3 linked regions of the Schizosaccharomyces pombe genome follow. The gene in region 2 interacts genetically with the main gene of each other region. Each region holds a gene or a part of one and is shown on either strand. Other genes may lie near its edges.

Region 1 (6,727 bases), 3.6 Mb from region 2:
CTGCAGCTACTCTAGTTCGCTATTCTGCCAGTGGAGGCATAAGTATGGTGGCCAGGCCTATGTACCTTAATTTAGGAGATCACTGGGCTACTAGTGTGCTTGGTTTTATTTCTGTAGCGATGGTTCCCATTCCTTTTATATTTTATCGTTTTGGCAAGAGCATTCGTGCGTGGAGCAAAAACGCTTACAAATTGTAAGAACAAGTGTGATTATTTGTTGTTGTTGTGTTTATTTAATGTTGATTATAATTGTCATATCATGCATATATCTATATAGTAAGAGAGTGATTGCAAGCAAAGATGAATTTTGGTGCTTATTCTATTTAAAGAACGAATGGATGTTTATAAACTAATTTAGAAAGTTTTAATAAAAACGTAAAGATTTAAAGTTATTTCGTGTTGCATTCTAAAAGTCACAGCAATCTAAATATAAACTTTTGAAAAGCAAAATTAACCGAGAATGATATATGCGTACGCCAAACAACTGGATTCATACTTATACACAGTTATTTGGGAAATTACAAATCGTTTTTTCTGTAATGTTTGTTCAAATCATTATTGACTAATAAATTCACCAAGCTATTTTCTGCTATATATTTTACCACCATCGGTAAGTGTTATAATTATTAACAGTCAATGAGTATGCAAGGTAAAATTACAAAATATTTTTTGTACTCTTTATTCGCTTTCATGCTCAAATTTTTGTACTAATTTCAACAAATTAAGAATAACGTGCGAGTCAATAGCTTCTTAGTCTGCAACCGATTTGTTACCTACTATTTTTAACCAGCGGAGTGAGACGGTAATAATATTTTCACCGGCAAAATATGCTAACTGCTATCATTTAAGTTAGCAAAAACTCGGCGAGAATTCCCAATGTCTGTTGGCTAAGCGAAAAATATTTTGCGTGGGTATTTCTAAATTTCCGTATCTCCACGGATATACTAATGTTTAGCCATGACATCTGAAGTTTTATGCCCTAAATGTGCGGCTTCTAAGCGTTCTCTGATATAAATTTATGGTTCCATCCGTTCAATCAATATGATAAAAGCTTAGTAAACTTTTATTAAAGGAAAATTTGAACCTTCGGTGAACAGACATTAAGAAGTACTCTTTATTTATATTAAAAAATACACCGTATATCCAAATTTTCTCTGAGAAAGCACTATTATGGGTAGACCACTTACAGAGGTGAAATACCTTTTGATAAATTCAGCTCCGGTAATCCTTGGATATGCCTTGCAAAACTCTTTGCAAACTAGTTCAGTTATTGTAACCGGGCGCCTTGGACCAAGCGAGCTTTCCGTAGCTGCTTTTGCGTACATGTTTGCGATGAGCACAGGCTGGCTGATTGCTCTAGGTGGAACTACTGCTTTTGACACACTTGGCTCCAACCTTTGGGGAGCCGGAAAAAAACAAGAATTGGGAATTCTATTGCAAACGGGTTTCATCGTGCTCAGTATTCTATATCTGCCAATATGTTTAGTTTGGTGGTATTCTAAACCCATCCTAATTTTCTTGCATCAAACACCTGAATTAGCTGAAGCTTCACAAAAGTTTTTACGATACCTTATCCCAGGCGGACTAGGTTATGTATGTTTTGAATTGCTAAAAAAGTTTTTGCAAACACAAGAAATCACTAGGGCTGGTTCTTATATTCTTCTAGTTACCTCTCCTCTTAATGTCGCCTTAAATTTTCTACTTGTCCATTATTATGGATTAGGTTTAAAAGGCGCTCCATTGGCAACTGGATTATCGTACTGGCTTTCATTCATTTTATTAACTCAATATGCGAAATACGTAAAAGGGGCAGAGGCGTGGAATGGTTGGAATAAACGATGCTTAGAGAACTTTGGACCTTTTGTAAAGTTATCACTATTGGGTATCGTTATGGTGGGAACAGAATGGTGGGCTTTTGAAATAGTAGCACTAGTTGCTGGTAAACTTGGTGCTGTACCACTTGCCGCTCAATCAGTAATTATGACCACAGATCAATTACTTAACACAATTCCTTTCGGTCTCGGAATAATTACTTCTAATCGAGTTGCCTACTATCTCGGAGCTGGGTTACCTGACAATGCTTCTCTAACTGCTAAGGTCGCAGCAATTGTAGGTGTTGCAGTAGGAAGCGTTATCATGATTACCATGATTGCCGTACGCAATATCTATGGACGGATTTTCACAAATGATCCAGATGTCATTCAGCTGGTTGCTCTTGTAATGCCCTTAGTAGCTGCTTTCCAAATATCAGATTCCTTGAATGGTACAATGGGAGGAGCTTTAAGAGGCACGGGAAGACAGAAGGTTGGCGCTATAGTTAACATTACTGCCTACTATTTGTTTGCTCTGCCTCTAGGAATTTATTTAGCCTTCCATGGCAAAGGTCTTGTCGGTCTTTGGATTGGACAGGTAATAGCGTTATCCATAGTCGGAATTTTAGAACTGAAAATTGTAATGGCAACTGACTGGATTTCCCAATCAAGAAAGGCAATCTCAAGATTTGGTGACTCCTCTGAATTGACTGCACTACTCAATTAGACATTTGGGTCGATGCATGTAGTTGATCAAGCAAAATAGTTTGATAATAGCTTCATTGTTAACCGGTAATGATGTTCACCATGTACATTAAAGCAAATAAATTATTAATAAAACAACGTTACTTTCATATTTTTTTAAAGATTCCTCATAACATTGGTTACTCTGTCAAAATCCCAACTGTTTAAGTCGTTAAGTTCAAAACCTTCAACGATATCTTTAAAAGTAGAATCCGTAACATCATTATTTTTGGCACTGCAAACTTCTTTAGCAACCCGCAAAAGTTTGTCTGCAATTTTGACAAGTTCCAAAGCCACGTCACTAACTGGCTCCATTTCCATAAAAAAATCGTAAATTACATGTAAAAGATCCAAATCGTTAAGTAATGTTTCTGAGTCCGTTTCCGTATCAGTTTCGTGAACAAGGTTATTAAATATTATTAAAAAAGGTGTAAAAGGACAGTATAGGAATATCCATAGCGGATCTGCTTTAACATTGACCCTGAGATCAATGTTGAGTCTATTTTTTAACAATTGAACTGCTTCACGGGCTGCATTAATACAAATCCTTCGATTCTCTGTCGACGAGCTAGGTCTGTGTAATATAATTAAAGTGTTTAAGTAAGAAAAGTAAACTTCCATACCTGCGAAAGTTAAAAATTCGAACCGATCGCTAAGCGATATAGTGGGAGAAAAAGTGTTGTTTAGCAACATTTCATGATACATTTTTATTTCAGAAGGAAGGTTTTCTTCCCACGCTTTCAATTTTTGATGTATTGGTATGATGATTTTTTCTCTCGCTGCCATTTGCGTAGGTGACTTCACGCTGTATAGTCGATTTCGTATTTCACTCTGAATTATTGTCAACGATACGGTAGGAACAAATATCAAATCACCACCAGATTGTACACCAAACAAAAGCTCATATTTGCTATCAGGCAAATTACAATCAATATCCTTGTCGTTAAAAACGGAAGGGGTTCCAAAAATCAAAGAAATATTTTTATCGAGAATATAACACATCCAAAATATCCTTTTCCACGATTCAGCCTTTTCAGGCTCCACATCAGTGGATTGCTTTCTATGTAAGTTTAATTGTTGGGCCATGAGGCAGGCTTGGCCGCACAAAGTCCGACATAAAGAAGAGCTAGACAGGTAAGCTGCGTACTGTGTCATGACAATTAAAGCCTGAACTTTGTCAATGCTCGGAGTAAGAAAAAAGTCGGACTTTTGAACAAAAACCCAAGCTGTTGAAAACAAAGACTCTGCAAGCGTCTTTGAGTTACCAAGTCTTTTCCTAATGCTGCTTAATGCTAAAATAGAATAAAAAGAAATTAGCCAAGCATTATTGCTATGGAACCCGAACGCATAAAGACGTTCGAACTCATACATAAAATCATTATATACGAAGGTAGGCCACCACCAATTTACATGCTGAAAGTAAGACGTGACTAACTCATGGGCTACTTCCTTCTTGGGAATGTCATGGAATGCCTTCTCCCAGTCCGGCAACTGTGGAGGGAACAAGCTTTCCACATTCAGTATCCGAGTAGGTGTATTGTCGACAGGGCTACCTTGTCTGTGTTTAATAACAATCGATTCTGCATCTTTAATTTGTGTAACCAAGGAAGGTAATTCAATAGCCTTATTTTCACGTTTAAATTCTGAAGTTTCAGTAGCTATATCTAACAACAAATCGATTTTTTCTTCAAGCAATTTAAGGCGTCTCTGAACGGATTCTTCACCATCCTCGGGTTTTTCAATGTTTTTACTAATAGTTCCATTAGTAGTTAATGCAAAATTTTCTTGATTTGGAATTGAGTGATCACTCGGTTCTGGCTCATTGCCGTTAATACCAGCGGCATAATCAAACACGGGTAACGTAATTCCCCCAAACGTCTCCTTGCTTCTTTGAACAAGTCTCTTACGGCGAGCACGATTAGAATAATGACAGTCCGCTTGAAAAAGAGTACAAGTCTGACATCTTGGTTGCCCTCGACTACATTTAATCTTCTTCAACCTGCAAAGATCACATGCTTTATTTTGAGACATCTTATGTTAAGAAAAGAGTAATTAAACAACTATCTTAAATTCTAGCTGAATGCGTATCAATTGTAAGCAAGCATTACCGCCTTTGGTGCAGTTTACTGTTAAAAAGCATATACATCTGCAGATTTATTTTAGCACTACTCAAGTCGTGCTTAAGTATAGGTTATAAGGGAAGTGATGATAAGAAAATCTGGACAAGACGATAAGTATACGTACTCGAAAGATAAAAAAAATTTTATATAATCTTATATTACTGATAATGATAACAGAGCCACTAATTCATTAAAAGACATTAAAACAATATTAAGCTATTTAACTAAGACTAGGAACAAAAGAATAAAAAAGAACTGTTAATAAACATACAATTATAAAAGCACAGTAAAAATACAATGAAACAGCGTAGCTGTTGCCAAAAAGAAGAGTTAAGAAAAGTATAACACTCAGGTTAAATTACTCTGTGATTTGCTTCTGGTCAAAATCTTTTGGCAAAGGTAAACTGCTTAAAGATAGTTCATTTAGTGGAACACCAGATATGTACTCGTTCTCCTGTTGAACAGTAGGTATTGGACCTGTAAAAAAAGTTTTACCACCAATCTTTGGCAAATAATAATACACCACGCAAAAGACCATTACAAATCCAAGGACCACTATAGCCCAATTCATCTCATCTTGGTTGGGCTTTTGATATTGAGGAAACAAAAGCATAAGAATCATAAACCACATCCAAACTAATGACCATAAGGCTGCTGGTTTGCTCCATTTTCCAACGTAGAAAACACCAGGTTGAAATTTATTGTACACAAATCGACACATAAGAGGGCCGGAATAAGCGATATAAAGAGCAATAATTGCTAAATTAAACACAGAAGAAATGGCAGTGACATTAACCAAAATTAGTAGACCGACTAAAAGGCTATAGAGTAGCACTAAAAGAATTGCATTTAAGGGAACTTTCTGTTTAGTCAAAAGACGTAAGTATCTACTTCCTGGAATCCCGCCGTCTCTGCAGAAAGCAAATACTTCTCTAGATGCAGCAATCAGTAACGAAATGCAGTTCAAACAAAGGGCAATGACCAGCAAAGAGAAAATTCCTAAAGCTCCCTTATTTCCAACATTGTTAACCAGTACTTGAGCTACAGGCTGGCCTAAAGAGGAACCTAGAATGGCATTAAAATCGTGACCCATAGTAGCTACAACGGTGATAACGATGCACCATCCAAGAATGGTAGCCACACCAAGACTGGAAATCATAGCAAAGGGAGCTGCTTTGGCAGCATTCGTTGATTCTTCAGCAACAGCGGCGCTAGATTCGAATCCGCTTACAACCCACACAGGAGTAGTGAATGAAAGTATAAATGCCCATCCCATGTTTGACCATCCAGAATAATTTGTAAAATCACCGAATATAAAACTTCCAGAATTTCTAGTAGTAGAGTCAGATCCTGCGGCAAGGGCAATAATAAGAATAATGGATACAAGGAATTGGAAGGTAATATTAATGATGTTCACCTTCGCGATAACACGAGAGGGAATTGCAGTCATGGCAGAAATCACGAAAAGCAACGCTGCGTAAATTCCGTACTGTTCATATTTTGTAGGTGAATAAGAAGGACTACCTATCACAGCTAGTGCCTGTACCATAGATGATGCAGAGTACACTGTTGAAGCATAAATCGTAGCGTAGCCAAGCACTGACACGTAACCACAAACCCAGCAGAGAAATGCTCTTGACGATGGTGATGCTAGGGTAAAAATCCAAAAATAAAGACCTCCAGAAGTAGGCATAGAAGACGCCAGTTCGCCCAATGATATACTTACTGGAATCAGACATATACATCCAATAATCCATGACCAAACCATGCCTCCTCCTCCACAGTTCATCGAGAAAATGAGTGAACCCGCCATAGCCGGACAAAGACCCATTGATCCAAACGATTGACCAAAAATGCTAACGTAAGAGAATTCTCTAGTGAATTCTGGTTTGTAACCAAGGCTCATCAGAAGCTCATCATCTTGATTAGCTTCTCTGCTTTCGCCCAACTCAACTTCATTTTCCCATTGCTTCTGATTTTGTTTTAAGCTTTCTTTGTCGATGTCACTCATTGTAAATGCTGAATGTGAGTCGTCCTTACAAGCAGAAAACTC
Region 2 (5,956 bases):
GAATATTTATTTTTGGAAGTACGAATCGTTTTTAGCAATTAAACTTGCAGTTGTATATATATATTTGTTTAATGATAAGAAGCTGTTCTTTTTTTTTGTAGTATTCAGTGTATTATGGAGATCGTATTCGCACGTGTCATAAAAAAAAATTTACTATTATAAACTTTTTTTTTTTTTTTTTTTTTTTTTAAAAAAATAAAATACGCATATACCTTCTATTTAAATAAAACTACGTAAAATAACTTAGTTTGAATATTTTTTTTTTCGAATTCGCGTGCCTATTTTAGTATTGGTATAGGTAAAATCGAAAAGAAAGTGTGGTATTAACAAACATGATGAATATTCATTCCTTTGTATGCAACATAAATAAATTGCGATTAAATTGGTTAAAGATGAATAAATTATTTATTGTTCTTGTGAATATTTAGTATCGTGTAGCATCAGGGAAAGGCGAAATTCGCATTATAATCATAATAATATTGGCGTCTAATACACTATTACTATAGAAGAATTGGTATTGCTATTTACTCGTATACTTTTGACTATTCACATGGTATATATTCTTTCATTTTATCTAAATTTATATGAGAGTTTATTATCCTAGAAATTCAGCTAACATTTGATTATCAAGAAACACAACCTAATTACAGGTAATGACAGAGAGCCTGATATTTTCGTAAACCAACATTTAGCGTAGTAAATTGGTTGACTGGAAGATTTATTCCCTTCAATCCGGTTCAAGTGAAAAATTCAATCATATTTAAGAGGGATTCATTCGGTGCAACAGTATTTTCATCAACCGGTAATAAATCATATATTGTCTGAAAAGTTTCAAATCTTCTTTGTGCAATATCTTTGTTTTTATGCGTTCCACTAAAAGCATCCAAAATCAGCGCATTCCAAAATAAAGGACTTTTGTCAAATTGCGGCTGCATAGATTTTTGAAGGTACTCAACTGCCTTAGCAAGATTTTCAGAGACTAGTTCATGAAAGCTAAATTATGATTAGTTGATTGATGTCGATACTTAGTACATACCGATGCAAGTGTAACTGGAGAGACACATTAGATAGACAATGCTTTATCCCCCAACGATCTAGAATATCTAGTTTCCAGAAATCTGAAAGCTTCATTGGTCTCAAAGGATGCGTACTTGCATTTCCACCCATTAAATATATAATGTTTCTATTCAAATCAGCCGCGACTGCGTGTCCAAACCTTTTAAAATTAAGCGTCAGATGATTTACCTTTTTCCCAAAGACATACCTGGAACAAGGATGTTCATTTCCTTCTTCTTCATTAATATCACTTATTTTAACCCATTCCTCTGTCGTTATGTAAAATATCCATAAACTTGGTCGAAGGACTTTGTGAATGTTTCGCTGTTCAAAACCAAACATAGTGAAAATGCGATGGTTTTTCGAATCCATAATACTCCTTTGACAAAATGAAGGACTTGGACTTTGGGATGTATCGTTTTTCCTAACATGCTGCACAGCTTCTCTTGTTTCTAACTTAATATAACACATGTCTAAGATGAATTCTTGATCATAGCTTTGACCACCGAAAATATAAAGTTTGTTCTCATCAGGAAAATATTCCATGCAATGACCCATCCTTTCAATCTTAAACTCACAGTGTTTTTGACGATCCTCATACCTGACAGCCAACTGTTCCCAAATTCGATTTTTCGTATCATATGCATAAAGTCCCTCGAATACCAGTTCATCTGGATCCCATTTACATCCACCACTCACATATACAATACCTCGCTTTTCGTCTACTGACATTCCATGGTCAAAAATAGCGGCAGGCCCACCATCTTTTGAAGTGTCATAGGATAAACATGTCCAAACTTTTTTGCTAATATCAAATTCCCAAAAATCTGTCCTTGCATCTGGGGGCACCTCGGTTTCCCTAGATGAGCCAAAGTAATTCCCAAGTAGATACAGCTTTTGTTGGCTAGTATCAATGACCATTCTGTGACAAACCCTCTCACCAGGAATTCTAATACGTTAATGGATAGATTCTTTCTAAAAAATGACATACCCATATTCATTCTCCATAATCCATAAATCTTTATCAACATTGTAAATCCAAAAATCAGAAAATGTTTTGACACCATCCCAGCCGCCGTATAAATAAATACAATTGTCCTGTATGAGGATAACTGTTAATACAATAAAATATCGAAAAAATCTAAGGTACCTTTGGATTGTAAACCATTTGATGACCGCTTCTTCTACTTATTCCTTTCAAAAATGTAGCTATTCTATGCGACCGTAATTTGGTTAATTTATGCTTTGGCCATTTCTCAATAATTTCAGCTTGAAGTTCTTGTTGAAACAGAAGAATGGTTTTTTGAGTGTCTCCTAGTCTGCAAAATGCATCATACATTCTCATTAAGGGTGAATGTGGTATGGAAAGCTGGTAGCTTTGAAGTATCACAGAACATATATCAAGTTTCCCTTTAAAAGCAAAGTAAGAGAGAAGGCAATTGAGTGCCTTTTTTTCTAGATGTAAAGCTCTGTTCTTCTCTGTGCATGATAAAGCGCTGGCTGAGTCAATGCCGTGTAAAGCAACATACCATATACTCATGTTAAATTCATGAGCATGAGCTTGAAGTGGAACAATTTTGATATACTTACAAGCAATTGAATTCTCAATTTTGTTATATTTCTTGATACACAATGGAAATGTTTCTCGATTTGAATCATTTGTCAATCCAGCTCTTAATAAAGGGAACATCAAATGCTGTTCACGCCCCCCATATACTATAAAACTTAAAACTGTTAGAGGAAGAAAAAAAAAATAAACCGCTTACTCTTTAAGGTTGCAAAGATGGGGAGTGTGGAATTTCCCAAAGGTGATATCGGTAACCAACGCAAGTTTATCAAGTTTCAGAATTACATACTGTTCTTCAGAGTTGTTGGGTTTACATATTGAAGTATTACAGCTCCATCGGCTGTTAGCCTGGTGTGGATTATCGATAAGTATATTGATAGGATGAAATGCTCCAGAATAGCTGGACCAGCTTTGAATGGTATAAGACAATTCTTTACGTTCCATTTAAAGAATCAATAATTATCTTCGTCTGACCGCTATGAGTCTAGCAACAATGTATGTGTATTGGAGAAATCAGGAAAGCACCTAATGTAAACAAACAAAAGAGGCAGTAATGATCGCTTCCTTAAGGTGCTTTACAGTCTTGGTAAGGGTCTAAACTTAAAAGGGAAATTTCAGTAAACAATTATAATTCATTTTGTAAAAGTTGAAATTGGATCCAGTATTGAACTTAACTTATTGACGAATATGAAGAAAGTAGTTCTGTTCTGCCATTCGATATTACAAAAGAAACTCCAACAGCTCTTTCGCATTTCTCCAGAAAAAAAAATAACTATTTTGTCATTATCTGAGAATTTCGCTCATTTATTTGGCAAATTAAATGAATTCACAAACTACCCAATCTTGCGATGGACCAAACCACTTTCCAAAATTTCAATTGTAACTAGAGCAACACAACCATATTAAGTATAAATTATTGGTTAATTAAGTATCCTCGTCATGAAAGCATGGTAGAAGATAATATGGGAAATCTATATGATGTTAGTTTAAATATTATATCTGATTCATTGACGACGTAAATTCCTCTTCTCTATTATATAATCACGGATCTTTGAGAGTCATTAAACGATTAAATGTTAATATGATAATCATATGATTTCTTTTTTATACAAAAACTATATAAAGCCCAAATTATTGTGTTCGGTATCATGGAACGAATACTAAGAAAAGCAAAGCGCTTATGTTGATTTTTTTACTTGGCTATCTAATGAACGCTTTCTTTTCATATATAATGGGGCTTGAAACTCAAGCTGCGCCTATATGTCAGTAATGTACGACACAGCATGCGCCGCTGAGTTCGTATATCAGAACTGTTTCTTTTGCTGCGAAAGAACTGTAAAATTGCTGTCACTGCATCCTTTTCACACGTATAATAGTCGAGCTTGTTGCAAACATCGAAAACGTCCCGCGTTTGGTTTATTTACATTGATATGACCCGTCTGTTTACACTTGGTTGTCATGACAACTTCGCTTTCTCAAAACATATTTTACTCGTAGCGGGCCCTCCGTGTCAATTGTGGCATTCCAAATTTACAGAAGATTAAGACTTTAAGAGATTGCGCCTCTGATGCGTATAAAAGGTTAAGAAACAATCAGCTACTTGCCTTTACGATTGAAAAAAAAAACCAGTTCTCTCTCTTTTGTTTACTATCCATACTATCTTGTTTACTCAATATCCTCGCGTTAAATCGTATTAATTTCAAAGAAATTCGTTTTACAACAGCGTTTTTGAAGTGTTTCCCTCTATTTTTCAGCCGATTTTTTGTCCTTCTTCTTCCCAGCTTCTTGAAGAATTGTTTATTTCTGGAGACTACATATCAGTTTTCCTTATTAATCGTGATATCTATTATATATAATCATATATATTATTCTTTCTTTTTGTCATCCCAAGCAAATTGGTTTTTGATATAACTGTTTGTCAAAATGGGAATGGGGTTCAATCCTATTAAAGCTTTGTTCACTGGTATTGGTACCGTTTGCGTTGGAGTTGGCGCGCTTTTGTCAATTCTATGCATCATCAATCAAACTCAGCATAACATTGCTTTTCAAAATATTTACTTTATTCAACTGAATACTACATCTATCTTTTCTGTCGCCAATCAAACTGCTGTTGTCAATAATACAAGCAACCTACTTAACGAGCTTACTGGAACACTGGTAGACACGCTCGAAACATATATTGATCAAGGTGCTACTGATTTAATCGAACAAGTTGAGCAGGAGATGAAGGACGTGTCTGAACTCCCGGACTGGTACTCCATTGGTCTTTGGAATTATTGTCAGGGAAATTCGTCTGATTATACAAATCCTACTTATTGTAGTACTCCTTCTCCTAGTTATTACTTCAACCCCCTTACAATGCTGGAAACCAGTATTAATAATGCAACTGGTAGCCAAATTAACATCACTTTACCTTCCGAGGTGGATTTAGGATTAAAAGTGCTTAAAGGGGCATGTTATGCTATGCGAGCCATGTATATTCTTGGATTTATTTTCTTTGCTCTGACAATAGTTTCAATCGTTATTTCTTGCCTTCCATTTTTTGGTCCCCTCTTTCTCAACGTCTTCTCATTCTTTGCAACTATTTTTACTTTTATCGCTGCAGTTATCGCAGTTGCAACTTATCGTATTGCAATTTCTGAATTGGAAAAAAATATCGAAATTCTTAACATTCCAATCGTTTTAGGAAAGAAAATTTATGCTTATTCATTCCTTTCAGCAGCTGCTGGCTTAGCTGCTTGTATTCTATATTTTATTGGAAATCTTACATCCGGATACAGTCCACTTTAAGTTGTATCGTCCGTTATTTATTGCCCATTATTTGTTAAAAATTAGCATGTTGTTTTATTTTCCCTTCTTTTTGTATTGATGTCAAGTTTCCTTTTTCTTTCATTTTTATGTTAGTTAGCATTGAGATTTGTTTTTCTTCAGATAGTTACTGTATTTAAAAATATACTTTTCTTTGACCCTTGTAACGTATATATATTGTTATTCAAGTATACTAAATTTTCATCCAAATAATGTTCATTAAGTTTATCAAGTGATTCAAAATGCTCCGTTTTAAACTATTTCTTTGTCTTCGGCCAGTAATTGTTTAATCCATGTAAGATAATCCAGTCCTTCTGAATGTTTGTTCATGTTGCATTCTAAAAACTTTACTATATTAGGACGAACCTGACTCCTCAATAGATCATCGGACGTGACATAAGATTTTCCGTCTGCAACATCACAAAACGCATATAAAACTTGACGAGCACTATCACGATCCTCTAATTCTTCCATCACGATTTCTGTAAAACGCTCATAAGTAACACCCTCTTCCGAGTTAGCAGC
Region 3 (4,502 bases), 100 kb from region 2:
AGCTAGTGGATGGTTGTTATAGTTGGTGGGTCGGTGCTAGCCATGTGATTGTGGCTTCAGGCTATGGTTCGGCTTCTCATAAAAGCCTGCCTAACCTTTTTTATAATCCAGAAAAATTATTAGGATATATTCTTCAATGTTGCCAGAGTACAAGCGGCGGTTTACGTGACAAACCACCAAAACGGCCTGATCAATATCATACTTGTTATTGTCTATTAGGGTTATCATCAATTGCTTATGACTACAGATATCACACTTCTGATGGTTGGTCCTATAAACCTTCCATCTTACACTCCTCTTTAAGCTCTTTATTACCGGCTCATCCAATTTACTGTGTTCCTTTTGGTTTTGAAGAAAGAATTAAATCATATTTTCTGTCACAAGAATCATCAAAATTCTAATGGTTTATTTATGAGTTGTCTATGGACTTTAATTTTTCATGAGAGGATTTTTTTTATTATTTTAACGGTTTATGTCCCGAGTTTAATATCATGCCTATTTTACTTCTCTATCAGGTATTTACTTCGTCATTTTTACACATGTTGAATAAATAATAATTCTTGACTTATTTGTTATCTTTAAAATCATTAATGTCATTAGAATAATCCTTACTAAAGGAAATAAACCATAGCCTTTTACTTATATAGGCAATCGTGGTCCCAATAGAGATCTGCATATAATGGTAACAAATCAGTCATAGAATGCTTTCCGTCAGGTCTCGTAAAGTAAAGCTCCCAATCGTCAGGTGAATATAAAGGCTTATCTGCAATTTTATTTAAAATGTCGTCTAAGCGTGGAATAACAAATGATGGAGCAACAACGTCAACAACTTGCTTATCGTCTCCAGAAAAAGAATCATCAAATCCAACTTGCGAGCAAATAAACCGCAGCGGTTCATAATGAGGAGTTGTAAGATGAGCAGTGTCATCTCCGTCATCTCCTAAATCATCGTGTGTAGTGTATCCATATGTCTTGCGAATGGAGTGTTCATAAAAGTCCTCAAATTTTGCATCAGAAACTTGTGGAGTGTTAATTTGAAGAGTATCTTCAGCAATCAGATATCCACTGTGTTGTAGAGCTTGTGGCAGGTACTTAGTAATCGACCATGGGACATCTTTCAAAACATAGAATATATTACTTTTAAAAGGACAGACTTGAAAGACCTCGTCTAAGCCAAAGGCACCTGAATTTAGACCACCTCGAATGCCACCCGAATTTACAATAATATAGTGAGGAATGTGATGTCGAGACTCATTGACGACTATTTTTGGAAAAAGTTCGGATTGAAATAGATGATAAATTGAGTTTGAATCGTTAAATGGAACTTCTGAAAATGCAAACTTTTTTGGGGAACAACCTATAGGAGTAAGTAAGCCAAGTGCCTTCCGAGCTTCGTAAATGCCATTAGAAATAAATTCTCCAAGTGAGGTATTGAAAGAAGACTTTTTTGTTTTCGAATGAAACATAAAGCCCTCGGGATTCCAATCAATATAGGAACGAGAGAAGCTGACACTGGCAGATTTAGCACTTTGCAAAGAGGAAAATATCTGCTGAGATGACCGTCTAATACTTTCGCCTATAAATCTCAAGCGCTCAGCTAGATAAGATTCCACCCCCATTAAAGAAGAAATCCCAGATAACTTGACCAACGATTTGAAGGATGGAATGCCGTTAATTGAGACCCAACCAACTGTTTCGCAATATCTTCCTGACTCAATTCCCACTGCTTTTTCATCGTAAATGGCATAATCTCTAATATGGGAATGACCACCAAGTACTTGTATTGGAGTGGTAGGGAAGTGAATCCGAAGCTCTGAAAGAACGATATCAAGCTCTGAGGCATTGTGAACGGGTACATGAGCGGGAATCAGAATCAGATCGATGTCTTTATTTGATACCATATCGTTCCACCATGGCTGTAGCGAGAATTGCGAAACTGGGAGGACACGAACCGTATCAGTAGCACCAGAAAATGAGTTTACAAATCCAAACGCAAGGATTTTAACATTGTGGGGTGTAGAAAAGATGGCATATCGATCTCCAAAGGGTACAAAAGAAGAAACATGTTCATCATATATGTCAATGTTTGCAGCTAAATATCGGCCTTCCCACAGAGGAATGAAATTATGATAAGTATCATTTGCAACAGTTGAGAGATAAAGCTCATGATTTCCAGCAACAAGAATATCATAATCCATATTTGCAAGTAATGAATCTGTCCAACTACCAGGGGGATCTGTCAGATCTGACAGGCCCGTACCATCATGAAGATCGCCGGTATCTACTAGCAGTAAATCAACGTCTTTTTGTTTTGCCAAGTGCTTCATATGTTGAACAAAAGAAGCGAAATCTCCTAAATCTCCTGAATAACGTTTATCTCGCGCATGTCCTGCTAACCAGCCATGGATGTCAGTAGTGTGTAAAATATTGACTTGACCCCATGTCAATTCCCGACGAATTGCCAAGGGCAAAGTTGCTGAATAGCAAGGATTGATAACAAATAAAAGAGAGAAAATTAATGAAAATGTATGGGCAGGTTTCATAATAAATATTGGTTCCCAGTATATAGGGTAAGTGCAGAATCGCCAAGATAAGAAGATCAAGTACCAAGTCACAAGCAGCAAATAGTAGCCAGCCAAACCTTCGTAATATGACAATCATTGCTTCCATCAAAAGTCATGGGAGTTTTAAAAAAGAATTCGTAGTCGCCTATTTTTTTTAATCAAAAATTTCTAAATGAAAATTGCGACGTCTGCAAAACGAGCACGCAAATGCAAGATTTTGAGATCGTCAAATGATTAAAAAGCTTTAGTGAAACACTACACTTATGTTATGCCTTTAACTTCCGGTTGGGCATAAGTATTTAGTAAAAGAAAAGAAGAATTGTAAATTGACAATGTGTGGGGAATTGGTTTGACGAACGATAATAGATAATATTATGCAATATTGTAAGTAATATTTATAACCTTATCACAGAGAAAAACGCTTTTAACCAGAAGTATTCCTTCCGAAAAACGTATATTGTCTTTATTCACCAGAGAAGAGTGCAAAAACAAAATATTGTCATTGTTGCTCAAGAAAATGATTAAGCAAGAAAAATTGGTTTTATAGTAATGCAAAAAAATTTGAAAAGGAAAAAATCATTTTTTCCATTCATGAAAATAAATAAAACCATTGAATCTGGCATTAGCATTGTCTCTTAAAAGAATTGGGATCCCGCAACGATGTATTCGTAATACCATAAATATGTATGAATTGCAATACGAGGAAAAGCCAGATTTTTTGTAGAATTTAAAACATAAAAAAAAGAGTAAAAACCAGGGTAAATATTGCAAAGGAGTATGTATCAATTTGCGTTTCCGTTAAAAGAAGGAGCATTCTATTTCTTTCATGAAGACTGCGTTTGCCAGTATCAATAACACTCTAAGCTTACTTTGTTTAAAGAACTTTTTAAAGATAAACAGCAGCCATTAACAGGGTTTTTTTTCCTCCATCAAGCTTGAAGAAATAAACTCATATACCGATTTAAAATAATAATATAAAAAATAAATATTGAATGGGACGGGACTCGAACCCGCGAGCTTTCGCACTGGCGTGCAATGCGTTGAACGCACCTAAAGCCAGCTCCATAACCACTCGGACACCCATCCTTTCTGTAACATACTAACGATTATGTACATAATATAGCAAGGATTAATAGAGCTCAAAATAAAAATAAAAGGTAATAAAAGAATGGATATGTTGTAATGATTAAATACAACTTCGGTTATTCTTTCATTCAGTATGGTTAACTGATTTAAAATGTCCAAACGATATGTTTCGTACAATACATGACGAAAATTTAAGAAGGAGAAGAAACTCATATTCCACTTCAAACGAAATATCAGGTCATTAATAAAGAGGGTTATACAAAAGAGGAAAATTTAATTTCACATTTTTTCTTTCTTCTATTTGAAACCTGCTTTTCCGCCAATTCATCTAGTCATGGTTTGTATCGGTCAACTTATAGTGACATTTGGTATGGAACAAATGAATGATTTGTGTAAATTTTATGGCGATTAAAGAAACTTCCGCTAAACATTCTATTTCCATTCATTCTACTTAATTAATTAATTTATCCCATCAAACGATATTTTGAAGCCACAAAACTAGGGGCATTCTTTATTGCACCACCTGTGCAAAAAGTCGTCTTATTCACTCATCATTCATATTAAAAGGAAAACGTTTCCTATCATTCCCCAAGTTAGAAAATTAGCATAGTTCATAGAAATGTAATCAAAAATTCAAAAAAAAGCCTTAATGCTGTGAGCCTTCTACGCATTCATACTAGTGATGGAACAGTAACGTTTAGTTTCATGCTTTTTTCGTCGTCAACTTCATATCAGTGCTCAGGTCAACGCTAATAGTTCAATGCTTTAAGTCATGTCAATTTAAGAGGCTTTAAAAAAAAATATCAGAAATTTTTCTTCCACGGTGTCCGAAAAAATCTAAAGGAAAATTTT

What was found. A genetic interaction does not mean that the proteins touch.
Region 1: mutations in mde6 (region 2) and toe4 together harm fitness more than expected from each alone (negative genetic interaction), as found in Schizosaccharomyces pombe (one large-scale study listed by BioGRID).
Region 3: mutations in mde6 (region 2) and SPOM_SPAC17G6.03 together harm fitness more than expected from each alone (negative genetic interaction), as found in Schizosaccharomyces pombe (one large-scale study listed by BioGRID).

What each region holds. Positions count from the first base shown.
Region 1 is NC_003424.3:115,524-122,250, forward strand, and holds toe4 (transcription factor), read right to left. Parts: upstream 4,711-6,727; 5' UTR 4,586-4,710; coding exon 2,672-4,585; 3' UTR 2,538-2,671; coding exon of another isoform or gene 1,170-2,537; 3' UTR 531-1,169; downstream 1-530. Other genes in the region: mfs2 (MFS family membrane transporter), read left to right, coding at 1-197; SPOM_SPAC11D3.06 (MatE family transporter), read left to right, coding at 1,170-2,537; SPOM_SPAC11D3.08C (amino-acid permease), read right to left, coding at 5,033-6,685.
Region 2 is NC_003424.3:3,694,619-3,700,574, reverse strand, and holds mde6 (muskelin), read right to left. Parts: upstream 4,011-5,956; 5' UTR 3,068-4,010; coding exon 2,823-3,067; exon of another isoform or gene 2,781-2,822; coding exon 2,207-2,780; exon of another isoform or gene 2,155-2,206; coding exon 2,048-2,154; exon of another isoform or gene 2,006-2,047; coding exon 1,265-2,005; exon of another isoform or gene 1,217-1,264; coding exon 1,037-1,216; exon of another isoform or gene 994-1,036; coding exon 738-993; 3' UTR 548-737; downstream 1-547. Other genes in the region: pun1 (SUR7 family protein), read left to right, coding at 4,547-5,413; ain1 (alpha-actinin), read right to left, coding at 5,684-5,956.
Region 3 is NC_003424.3:3,591,096-3,595,597, reverse strand, and holds SPOM_SPAC17G6.03 (phosphoprotein phosphatase), read right to left. Parts: upstream 2,561-4,502; 5' UTR 2,544-2,560; coding exon 636-2,543; 3' UTR 531-635; downstream 1-530. Other genes in the region: protein farnesyltransferase beta subunit Cpp1, read left to right, coding at 1-401.